2 linked regions of the Drosophila melanogaster genome follow. The protein of the gene in region 1 purifies or fractionates together with the protein of each later gene. This does not show direct contact. Each region holds a gene or a part of one and is shown in the gene's direction. Other genes may lie near its edges.

What was found. Proteins that work in one complex are often made in the same cells at the same time.
Region 2: the proteins of l(1)G0020 (region 1) and Noc3 purify together in Drosophila melanogaster (affinity purification with mass spectrometry, with the first as the bait; one large-scale study listed by BioGRID). This does not show direct contact.

What each region holds. Positions count from the first base shown.
Region 1 is NC_004354.4:8,717,427-8,722,145, reverse strand, and holds the start of l(1)G0020 (lethal (1) G0020), read left to right. Parts: upstream 1-1,868; 5' UTR 1,869-1,980; coding exon 1,981-2,183; intron 2,184-2,242; coding exon 2,243-2,690; intron 2,691-2,750; coding exon 2,751-4,029; intron 4,030-4,089; coding exon 4,090-4,719. Other genes in the region: CG1789 (uncharacterized protein), read right to left, coding at 703-912, 1,037-1,540. UniProt on the Drosophila melanogaster protein: RNA cytidine acetyltransferase with specificity toward both 18S rRNA and tRNAs. Catalyzes the formation of N(4)-acetylcytidine (ac4C) in 18S rRNA. Required for early nucleolar cleavages of precursor rRNA at sites A0, A1 and A2 during 18S rRNA synthesis.
Region 2 is NT_033777.3:7,244,629-7,249,347, reverse strand, and holds the start of Noc3 (nucleolar complex protein 3), read left to right. Parts: upstream 1-2,378; 5' UTR 2,379-2,464; coding exon 2,465-2,473; intron 2,474-2,525; coding exon 2,526-4,138; intron 4,139-4,196; coding exon 4,197-4,719. Other genes in the region: CG1227 (uncharacterized protein), read left to right, coding at 1-43, 104-698, 757-891, 947-1,063; CG10053 (uncharacterized protein), read right to left, coding at 1,229-1,982, 2,052-2,098.

The sequences.
Region 1 (4,719 bases):
AATCGGGGAAAACAAGGACCAGCAGGCAAACAAAAAAGAAAAAAAAAAAAGAGATACGGGGAGTGTTTGCCCGGTTGTCTGTCGCCTGCGGTTTTCAATTCGAAAAGTTGCAGCCGGTTGCTTATTTTTACAAAAGACAAACATAAAAAAGTTACATTGAATATTGAAAACTTATGTTGCATACACTAACTTGCAAGAGCACATATAAAATATTAGTCTTGAAATGTTCCTCGGAGATAAGAAGAATGAATTTAAAAAATAAGCTGACTTTTTAAATAAAACATTACAAATGTTTAAATTCAGTTTGAAGTTGGGGTCATGACTTGGCTAAGCGTACCTAACTTAACGAAACTCGCACTAAATTTGGTTTGTGCCCTGGAAAGATCTAAATTTCGTTAAATATTTAACGAATCTGAAAAAAGCGTTTAGTCGAGTTACATACCCATTCGCTTTTACTTTTTCTTGTTTTTTTTCGGTATATATTATTCTATTCGGTATATATAAATATTCTGATCAGAACATTCGAATTAATGACCCAAAACTAGGATGCCATATCTCATTTAACTTGTTACTTGCATTTGAATTGCATTCAAAATTGGGAATTATATATGTAATTCCTTAATCCAAAACAATAAAAATCATAGTTTTGTCAAAAGTCTTCAACTAACACTTAATTGCTTTATTAACTAGAGGGGAAATATTCTATTTCTTGCGTTCGTAGCGGAATTTGTAGACGGGCGCACTGTCCTTGGTTCCCGGCTTTATTTTCCTCGGCTTCAGTAGGCGTGGCTGCTTGAGGGTGTTCTTCAGCTGAATCTTCTGCTGGACGATGCCGAGTTCCCTTTCACGCTGCTCGCGTTTCTTCAGCTCGTTGATGCGCTGCTGTTTGATGGGGTTTGGTTCAGTTGTTTTCTACAAAAAATTTAAAGGCAATCGTTACACACAAGTAGAATCATAAATCATAAGTATAATATCAATTATAAATTAGTTTCTCACAAAAGCTTACAACCTCGTTGGTTTTAAAGAGGTGACCTACCGATTTCTTCTTCTTTTCCTCCTCTTCCTCCTCGTCATCATGCTTTAAAAGCCATTCGCCCATGTCCAACTCCATGTATCCGTCTTCGTCAAATTTGATACGTTTGTTGGCTGCTCCCTTAATGGCATCCACGTCCACCAGCGAGGCCTTCAAGCGTTCGATCTTCTTGCGCTCCATGGTGCGCTTCATCACCACGTACTTGAGGTCCTGCGTCTGCATGAGGGCCAATTGCTCGGGCGTGTGCTCGTCCTTCGTGTCCTTCTCGTGGTGCTCATCGTTGGACAGCTTGGAGTTGATCATATGGTGGTAGAACTCATCGGGATTCTTGTTCTGCGCCCGGCGGTACAATAGCTTCAAGGTCTTTTGCTTTTTCTGTGCGTCGATGGCTCGCTTCTTGTAGTCCTTTTTCTTCTCCAGGAATCCCAGATGCTGGCGCGACTCCGGCTGGTGGCGCTCCCTGTGCACCTTCTGGTTGCTTTTCGACGCATTCTTCCACGATGACATCTTCAATTTATGCTAATCCTCGACAGCAATCAAATATGTTCTGTTTTGATAAACGTGCGCTTGGGGAATTAGAGATGCACAACTACTCGATAAATGTATCGCATTGACTCAAAACATCGAATGTGGTGTTAATCGGGAATTTTTAAAAAAATCTCATTGGTAGAAATTCAAGCTGCCTTCTTGAAGACATCAATACAAATCCCACCCGAATTCTACGATTTAAGACTTCGTGTAAACAACATTCATGTGCATTTCACAATGGTAATATGATTGACGATTTCCGTGACATTGTAAAGTAGATAGTTGAGTCGCGACTATCGACAAAGCGCCCATCTCTAAACCGCACACGTGCATTTTGAACGGGCAACAATTTCATTTGCATTATTTACTTCGGAAAACCGGAGTTTTTAAGTGAAAAGTGAACGCAGGAAAGCCGAAGCATGGTGAAGAAGAAAATAGACAACCGGATACGCGTGATGATCGAGAATGGGGTCAAGCTGGGCCACCGAACCATGTTCATCGTCATCGGGGACAAGGCGCGCGACCAGGTTCCCATTCTTTACGACATCCTGACCAAGTCGACGGTCAAGGCGCGACCCACGGTCCTGTGGTGCTACAAGAACAAGGATGAGGCCATCTCCAAGTGAGTATCCAACTGTAGAACTATTACACAGAAACTCAGCTAACTAGATACATTTTTAGTCATGGCAAAAAGCGAGCAAAGAAGATTGCTGTGGGCAAAGTGGATGTCAATGAGGCGGACCTGTTCGATTCCTTTCGAGTGGCCACCACCATTCACGGCAGATACTACTCCGAGACGCACGCAGTCCTCGGACGAACCTACGGCGTGTGTGTGCTCCAGGACTTCGAGGCCCTGACCCCCAATCTTTTGGCTCGAACTGTGGAAACGGTTGAGGGCGGCGGTCTGATCATCCTGCTGCTGAAGACACTGCAGTCGCTGAAACAGTTGTACACCATGAGCATGGATGTGCACAAGCGATTCCGCACAGAAGCCCATCAGACGGTGACCTGTCGATTCAATGAGCGACTCATTCTCTCCCTGGCGGACTGCAAGCGCTGTCTGGTGGTCAACGATGACCTCACCGTGCTGCCACTTAGCTCCAAGACCATCAACGTGGAGCCAGTGAATGTAAGCTGATGCTTGTAAATCTTCTAAAGCAGCTAATACCATTTGTTTCTAAACTTTCAGCCCGCAGGCGCCGGTCGATCGCCCAACGAGGCTAGCCTCAAGGAGCTGAAGGAGAGCCTGCTCACAGTTCAACCAGCAGGAGCTCTGGTTAATCTCTGCAAGACCTACGATCAGGCCAATGCCGTTGCCCAGTTCATTGAGGCGCTGGTCGACAAGCAACTGAAGCCGCCCATGTCCTTAACAGCGGCTCGTGGTCGTGGTAAATCGGCCGCCCTGGGTCTGTCGATTGCCGCCGCCGTCGCCTTTGGCTATGTGAACATCTACGTTACCTCACCGCATCCGGAGAACTTAATCACGCTCTTTGAATTTGTGCTCAAGGGCTTCGATGCCTTGGAGTACCAGGAGCATGCTGACTACACCATTATACGCTCCACCAATGCCGACTACAAAAAGGCGATAATAAGAATAAATATTACGAGAAGCAGCAGGCAGACCATTCAGTACATAGCTCCCAGCGATACTCATCTGCTGAACGCAGCCGATCTTCTGCTGATCGATGAGGCGGCTGCCATTCCTTTGCCGCTGGTAAAGAAGATGATCGGTCCGTATTTGGTATTCATGGCCAGTACGATAAATGGATACGAGGGCACTGGCAGATCGCTGAGCTTGAAGCTCATTTCCCAGCTGCAAAAGGATAACAATGCAAGGCCGCCACTGAAACTGGAGGAATCGATTCGGTATCAGGAGAACGACGACATAGAAAAGTGGCTGATCAACCTGCTGTGCTTGGATGCCAGTACGGTGCCGAGTATTAGCTCGGGCTGTCCCACGCCGGATGCTTGTGAACTGTACTATGTGGACAGGGACGCCCTGTTTTCGTATCACAAGGCTGCCGAGGCCTTTCTCCATCGCCTGGTCTCCATTTATGTGTCCTCGCACTACAAGAACACACCAAACGATTTGCAGATGATGAGCGATGCCCCGGCGCATCATCTATTCTGTCTACTGGGTCCGGTTCAGCGAATGGACGCCCTGCCAGAGATATTGGTGGTTATCCAAGTGGCACTGGAGGGTCAGATCTCCGCCCAGAGCATCAGCGATTCCCTGGGCAGGGGCAAGAAGGCGGCGGGCGATCTGATTCCCTGGAACGTAGCCGAGCAGTATGGCGATCGAGATTTTCCCAAGCTGTGTGGCGTTCGCATTGTGAGGGTAGCCACGCATCCGAATTACCAGAGGATGGGCTATGGCAAGCGGGCCATTCAGCTGCTCAAGGACTACTATGCAAGGAAGCACACTAATCTGGAGGACGGTCCAGTTGCCAGCAAGGATGCTGGTAAAGGTGAGTGCACGCACGCCAATGGTTTATTATGCACTACATAATACTTTAAATTTTGCATAGGTATCGAGGAAGTGGAGGAGGAGGAACTTAGTCTGCTGAAGGAACAAATCCGGCCACGTAGTCGTATACCCACACTTCTGCAGCGCTTGCACGAACGTGTCCCGGAACACGTGGACTATATTGGCACATCCTATGGCCTCACCACCGAGCTGCTGAAGTTCTGGAAGAACGCCGGCTTTGTGCCCGTCTATTTGAGCCAGAAATCTAACGAACTGACCGCCGAGCATAGCTGCATTATGCTGCACACGCCCAATGCCACGCCCTGGCTGGGCCTGTACTACCAGGACTTCCGCAGGAGAGTCCTCAAGTTGATGGGAAAGACGTTCAGGGAATTCGAGACGAAACTCTGTTTGGCCTTGCTGAAGAACAAGTCCGTGGACACGGAAGGTAGTGCACTGAAAGTACTCGATAAGCCAATGCTGGATGTTTACTTCTTGCCGCACGATCTGCAGCGCTTGGAGAGCTACGCCCGCCAGCAGTCCGAGTTTCGTCTAATCATCGATCTGCTCACGGACATTGCCCAGCTGTATTTTCAGGGCAGGATCGATGGTCTGCAGCTTGACCTGGTGCAGCAGGGCATCCTTTTGGCTCTGGGCGTGCAGGGCAAGACTGTGGATGCGTTGGGTCTGG
Region 2 (4,719 bases), on another chromosome or scaffold:
TAAACGGATCTCGATACACAATCCGCGAAAGGCTGGCGACGGGGTTTGTACCACATTTTTCCCACTATCTCCTCTGATATATCTAATCTGAGTGTTTAAACAGGGGCTTCAGTCTAATCGACCTTGGGGAAAACGCCTCCACGCGACGTAGCTATGCGATAAAGCGCATCACCTGCCACAGCATCGATGATCAGAATATAGCTCTGCGAGAAATCGAAAACTGTCGAAAAATTGACTCGGAAAACGTGATCCGGGTAGTGGATTACGAGCTGAAGGGCCAGGCGGACATAGTTATAAACACAACGAGCACCTTGTTCATTGTGCTTCCCTATTACAAGCACGGATCTCTTGCGGACCACCTTCAGCTGCGATCGCGGAAACAGGACCACATGCCCGAGGCCCAGATCCTGCAAATCTTTCTGGGCGTCTGCGAGGGATTGAAGGCCATCCACGAGGCAATGCCGGTGCCTCTGGCCCACCGAGATCTAAAAACGGCCAACATCTGCCTGTCGGACTCTTTTGAGCCAATTATTGTGGATCTCGGGTCAATGACAGAAGCCCGACTGCAGATTGTGGGCCAGACGGATGCTCAGCGCTTGCAGGACGAAGCCGAGGAGAGGAGCTCCATTGTCTACCGGGCTCCAGAGTTATTTACCGTGAAAACATATTGCACAATTGACGAGCGCACTGACATATGGGTAAAGCAGATCCAAGAGAGCGTTATTGAAGTTCTTCCTTAACATTTCCCTCTTTCAGAGTCTTGGCTGTGTGCTCTATGCAATGTGCTACTTTAATTCACCCTACGATCCCATCTACGAGCGAGGTGACAGCGTGGCTTTGGCTGTGCTCAGTGGGAACATAAACATTCCAGAGGATTCAATTTACACAGAGGTAATAAACCTTTTTTTTATATTGTAAAGGAAACTAATTCCAAATATTTGTCTAGGACATGCACGAATTAATTAAGTACATGCTGCGAACAGATCCAATGGAACGGCCATTCGTGTTTAGTGTTATCGAAAGGACCCACGATCTGATACAGAAACTGGAGGGTCGCTTGTAGCTCCCACTAACTGGATTACAACTCATTTATAGACATTCCTCCAAACCAGATACACCGCTTACTGTTTTTTGACTACTTATTGTAAAATATTTTAAACCTGCTGATTTTATGAAATTATGTGTAAGCAATCAAGCTAGTTTTTTTATTTTATTTTATTGATTGGAGCTAGTGTTCGTCACGAGTGAGTCCTGGACAGTTGGAGCCCAGATCTTCGGCGTCATCGTAATGGGTCCCACACCAATAGCAGAAGCAATAGGCTGTGCGCAGGTAGCCAGTGAGGAGTTCTAATTGCTCCGAGGGACTGTATGGTTCTTGCTTAGGTGGCACCTCGACTTCAGGATCGTCGGCGTCGCTCTGTGATTCATCTTCATCTTTTGGTTTAGGTGGCCAAAAGAAATCGAGATCTGGTTCTGTGATAGCGGACTTAAGATCCAACGATTCGCAGGTCTGCTGGCACCGTTTTATGTCATACTGTAATTTTCGCTCCTCCGCTTTATGGGTCGCGCGCCTCCTATAAGCCTCTGTACTGACTTCCTCGTCGCTTTTAATGCCGGCCTTGTTTAGGAGATGTGCCCTCCGCAACTTCTGCCGCTTGAGGGCCAACTCTGCAACGGCTGCCTCGCGCCCAAGTCCTCCACGACCGCTCTTTATAGTTATCCCCACGGGTTCAGTACGAGCATCCGAAGTTATGCCCAACCCAGAACCGGCTTTGTAGCCCATCTTGGCCAGTAGCTGGAATCCTTTGTTGTCGGCGGAAATTGGTTTGTTGAGGGACTGTTGAAGGCGAACATTGTCTACGTTCCCGGAAGAAGCTGCTGTCTCCCGTTGGCGCTTCTTCAGCTCATCTTTCTTGGACTCGACTTCAATCTGCCGCTTTCTGCCGCGATTGTGCACCAAACTCGGTCGGACATCTTGCAGACTAATGAGGGAAGGATGAGAGTTTTTCATAAGGTGGTTGGTTGTTAGTTAGGTGTGAGTGTAATCTCACCCAACCAGGAATTTGTCGGACATATAATCCTCCTCCTCGTCAGACATCTGTTTGTTTTGTTTACACTTCTCACTTAAGTGTGACCATTGCATAGTTATCTACAGCATTATTTCGATAATTTATAATAACAATGATATCTCTGCTATGAAGATTGAGTTCCGAAAATTGTATTTTATAGTATTGGTTCTGTTTAGTGATAAAAAAAACAGCCAGTTTGTGTCATTTACTTATTTCTTCAAAAACAAAGTATTTTAAGTAAGCGCATGTAAGATACTAAACAAAATACTATCCGCTTCTGAGCAGCTGTTGCGCTCCGCTGACGAGTGGACAGTTCCGTTGGCGTTCCATGTGCTCGTCCCATTCAGAAGGCAACATTTGTGAAAATTAACTATTAGTTGACTAAAACGGGTGCAATGGGAACTGTAAGTGGAAAGTAAAATTATTTAATGCTTATTCTAATCCAAATCATTGTAGAAAAAGGTCAAAATCAGCTCGGTCAAGCGGGCTGCTCACCTGAAGTCGAAAAAAACACCGCTTTCTAAGCAGCAGCAACAAAAACAGAAGCAAAAGCGCGACCAACTGAAATCGAAGCGCGAACAGGGTCAGAATATATTCTCCCAAAAGGCGAGAAAGCGGGACAACTTAGCACAGCGTAAAAAGCACAACAAATTGGCCTCCCTGGGCTTGGATCCGCTCGAGGAAGACAACGAGGATGGCGACGATGAGATGCTTGAAAACGTTGCGGACATGCTGGATGGCGATGATCTTGCCCTGCTCCAGGCTAACAAACGCAAGCGAAAGGCCAAGACGACCGGCGAGAATGATCCTGACCAAGGACAATCCATCGGCTTGGAAAGGGCCTATGCCTCTGACACGAAAAAAGAGCAGGACGCGCAAAAAATAAAGTTGGATTTGCTGCCAATCAAGTCCAGGGATGGTCAGATTATCACCCGTACGACAGAGGTGGATTACATACCTAAGCCCAAGCAGAAAAAGAAGAATGAAGAAGAAGAGGAGGATGATTCCGAGGAAGACGGTGATACGGAGTATGAGGACAGCGATGACGATGTGGTCAATGATGTCGAGGCCGCCACCGCCGCTCCCGTCCAAAAACTTATCTCTACCACGGATCTACTTATTGCCCGGCAGCAGGAGATCGAACGCCAGAAGTATCGCATTGGAATCATTTGTTCCGGGCTGCTCGAAAAGCCAGAGGATAAGATGCGCAACTTTCATGCTCTGTACGAACTCATGGACGAAATCAACCCAGCCAGTCGACAGGCCAACCTAATGGCCGTCAGAAAGCTGGCCATAATCTCTGTCACCGAGATATTCAAAGATATCTTGCCCGAGTATCGAGTGGGTCAGGTCGACACCAAGATGCAGACGCTTCGCAAGGCCACTCTTGATCGTGTAACCTTTGAAAACGCCTTGCTTCAACAGTTTAAAAAGTTCCTGCAGAAACTGGAACAGATCACAGCGCAAGTTAACAGGAGAGGTGGTCTAAGGACGCCTCAGACTGTGAAGTTGGCCACCGTGGCAGTACAGTGCATGTGTGACTTGCTTGTGGCACATCCATACTTTAACTACGTTCAAAACATTGCCCAGCTTCTGGTGTATATGCTGAATTGCAATTATGCAGAGATGCGAACGGCGGTCCATCAGTGCTTCCGCACAGTCTTTTCCAACGACAAACGGTTAGAAATGACTCTTTTTATAGTGCGACGCATCAATCACTTGATCAAAACGAAGCAGAACAATGTTCATGTGGAGTGCATCACCTGTCTGATGGGCCTTAAAATCAAGAACGTAAACCTAGATGCCGAAAAGGAGAATGAGCTAAAGCAAAAGAAGCTTGAGTCGCATCGTCAACGCTTACTAAGCTTGTCCAAGAAAGAGCGCAAAAGACGTAAGAAGCTCACCGAGGTTAACAGAGAACTAGAGGAAACCCGTGCCGAGGAAAACAAGCAAGCAAAGCATCAGAAGCTCACCGAGATCATAAAGATGGTGTTTACCATTTACTTCCGCGTGCTTAAGAACGATCCCACCTCCCGCGTGCTGAGCGCTATTCTAGAAGGATTGGCAGAGTGAGTGGTTATTGTAAATCTCTTTCCTGGAATTTTAAATATAGAGGATGATTTTTAGGTTTGCGCACGTCATTAATTTGGACTTCTTCTCCGATCTAATCGATGTGCTCAACCGCATTCTAGAGGACCAAGACGAGCTGGGCTACCGGGAGCGATTGCACTGTGTTCAGACCATATTCGTTATCCTTTCCGGCCAGGGTGAGGTGCTAAACATCGACCCCATCCGATTCTACCAGCACTTTTACCGAAATATGCTGGCGGTGCAGGCAGGCAAAAATCACGATGACTTCGCCATTATTTTGCGAACTTTGGATGAGGTGCTCGTAAAGCGTCGTCGCAATATGAGCCAGCAGCGTCTAATGGCCTTCATGAAACGCTTGCTTACTGGAAGTCTGCATCTGCTCCATAATGGCACCCTGGCCACGCTTGGCACAATAAAACAAACCTTCCAGCTCACTTCTGTGCTTGACAACCTATTGGATACAGACACTACGATAGGCTCTGGTCGTTACGATCCCGAACTGGACGATCCTGAGTACTGTAACGCAGCAAGCACAGCGCTGTATGAGCTTGCGCTTCTG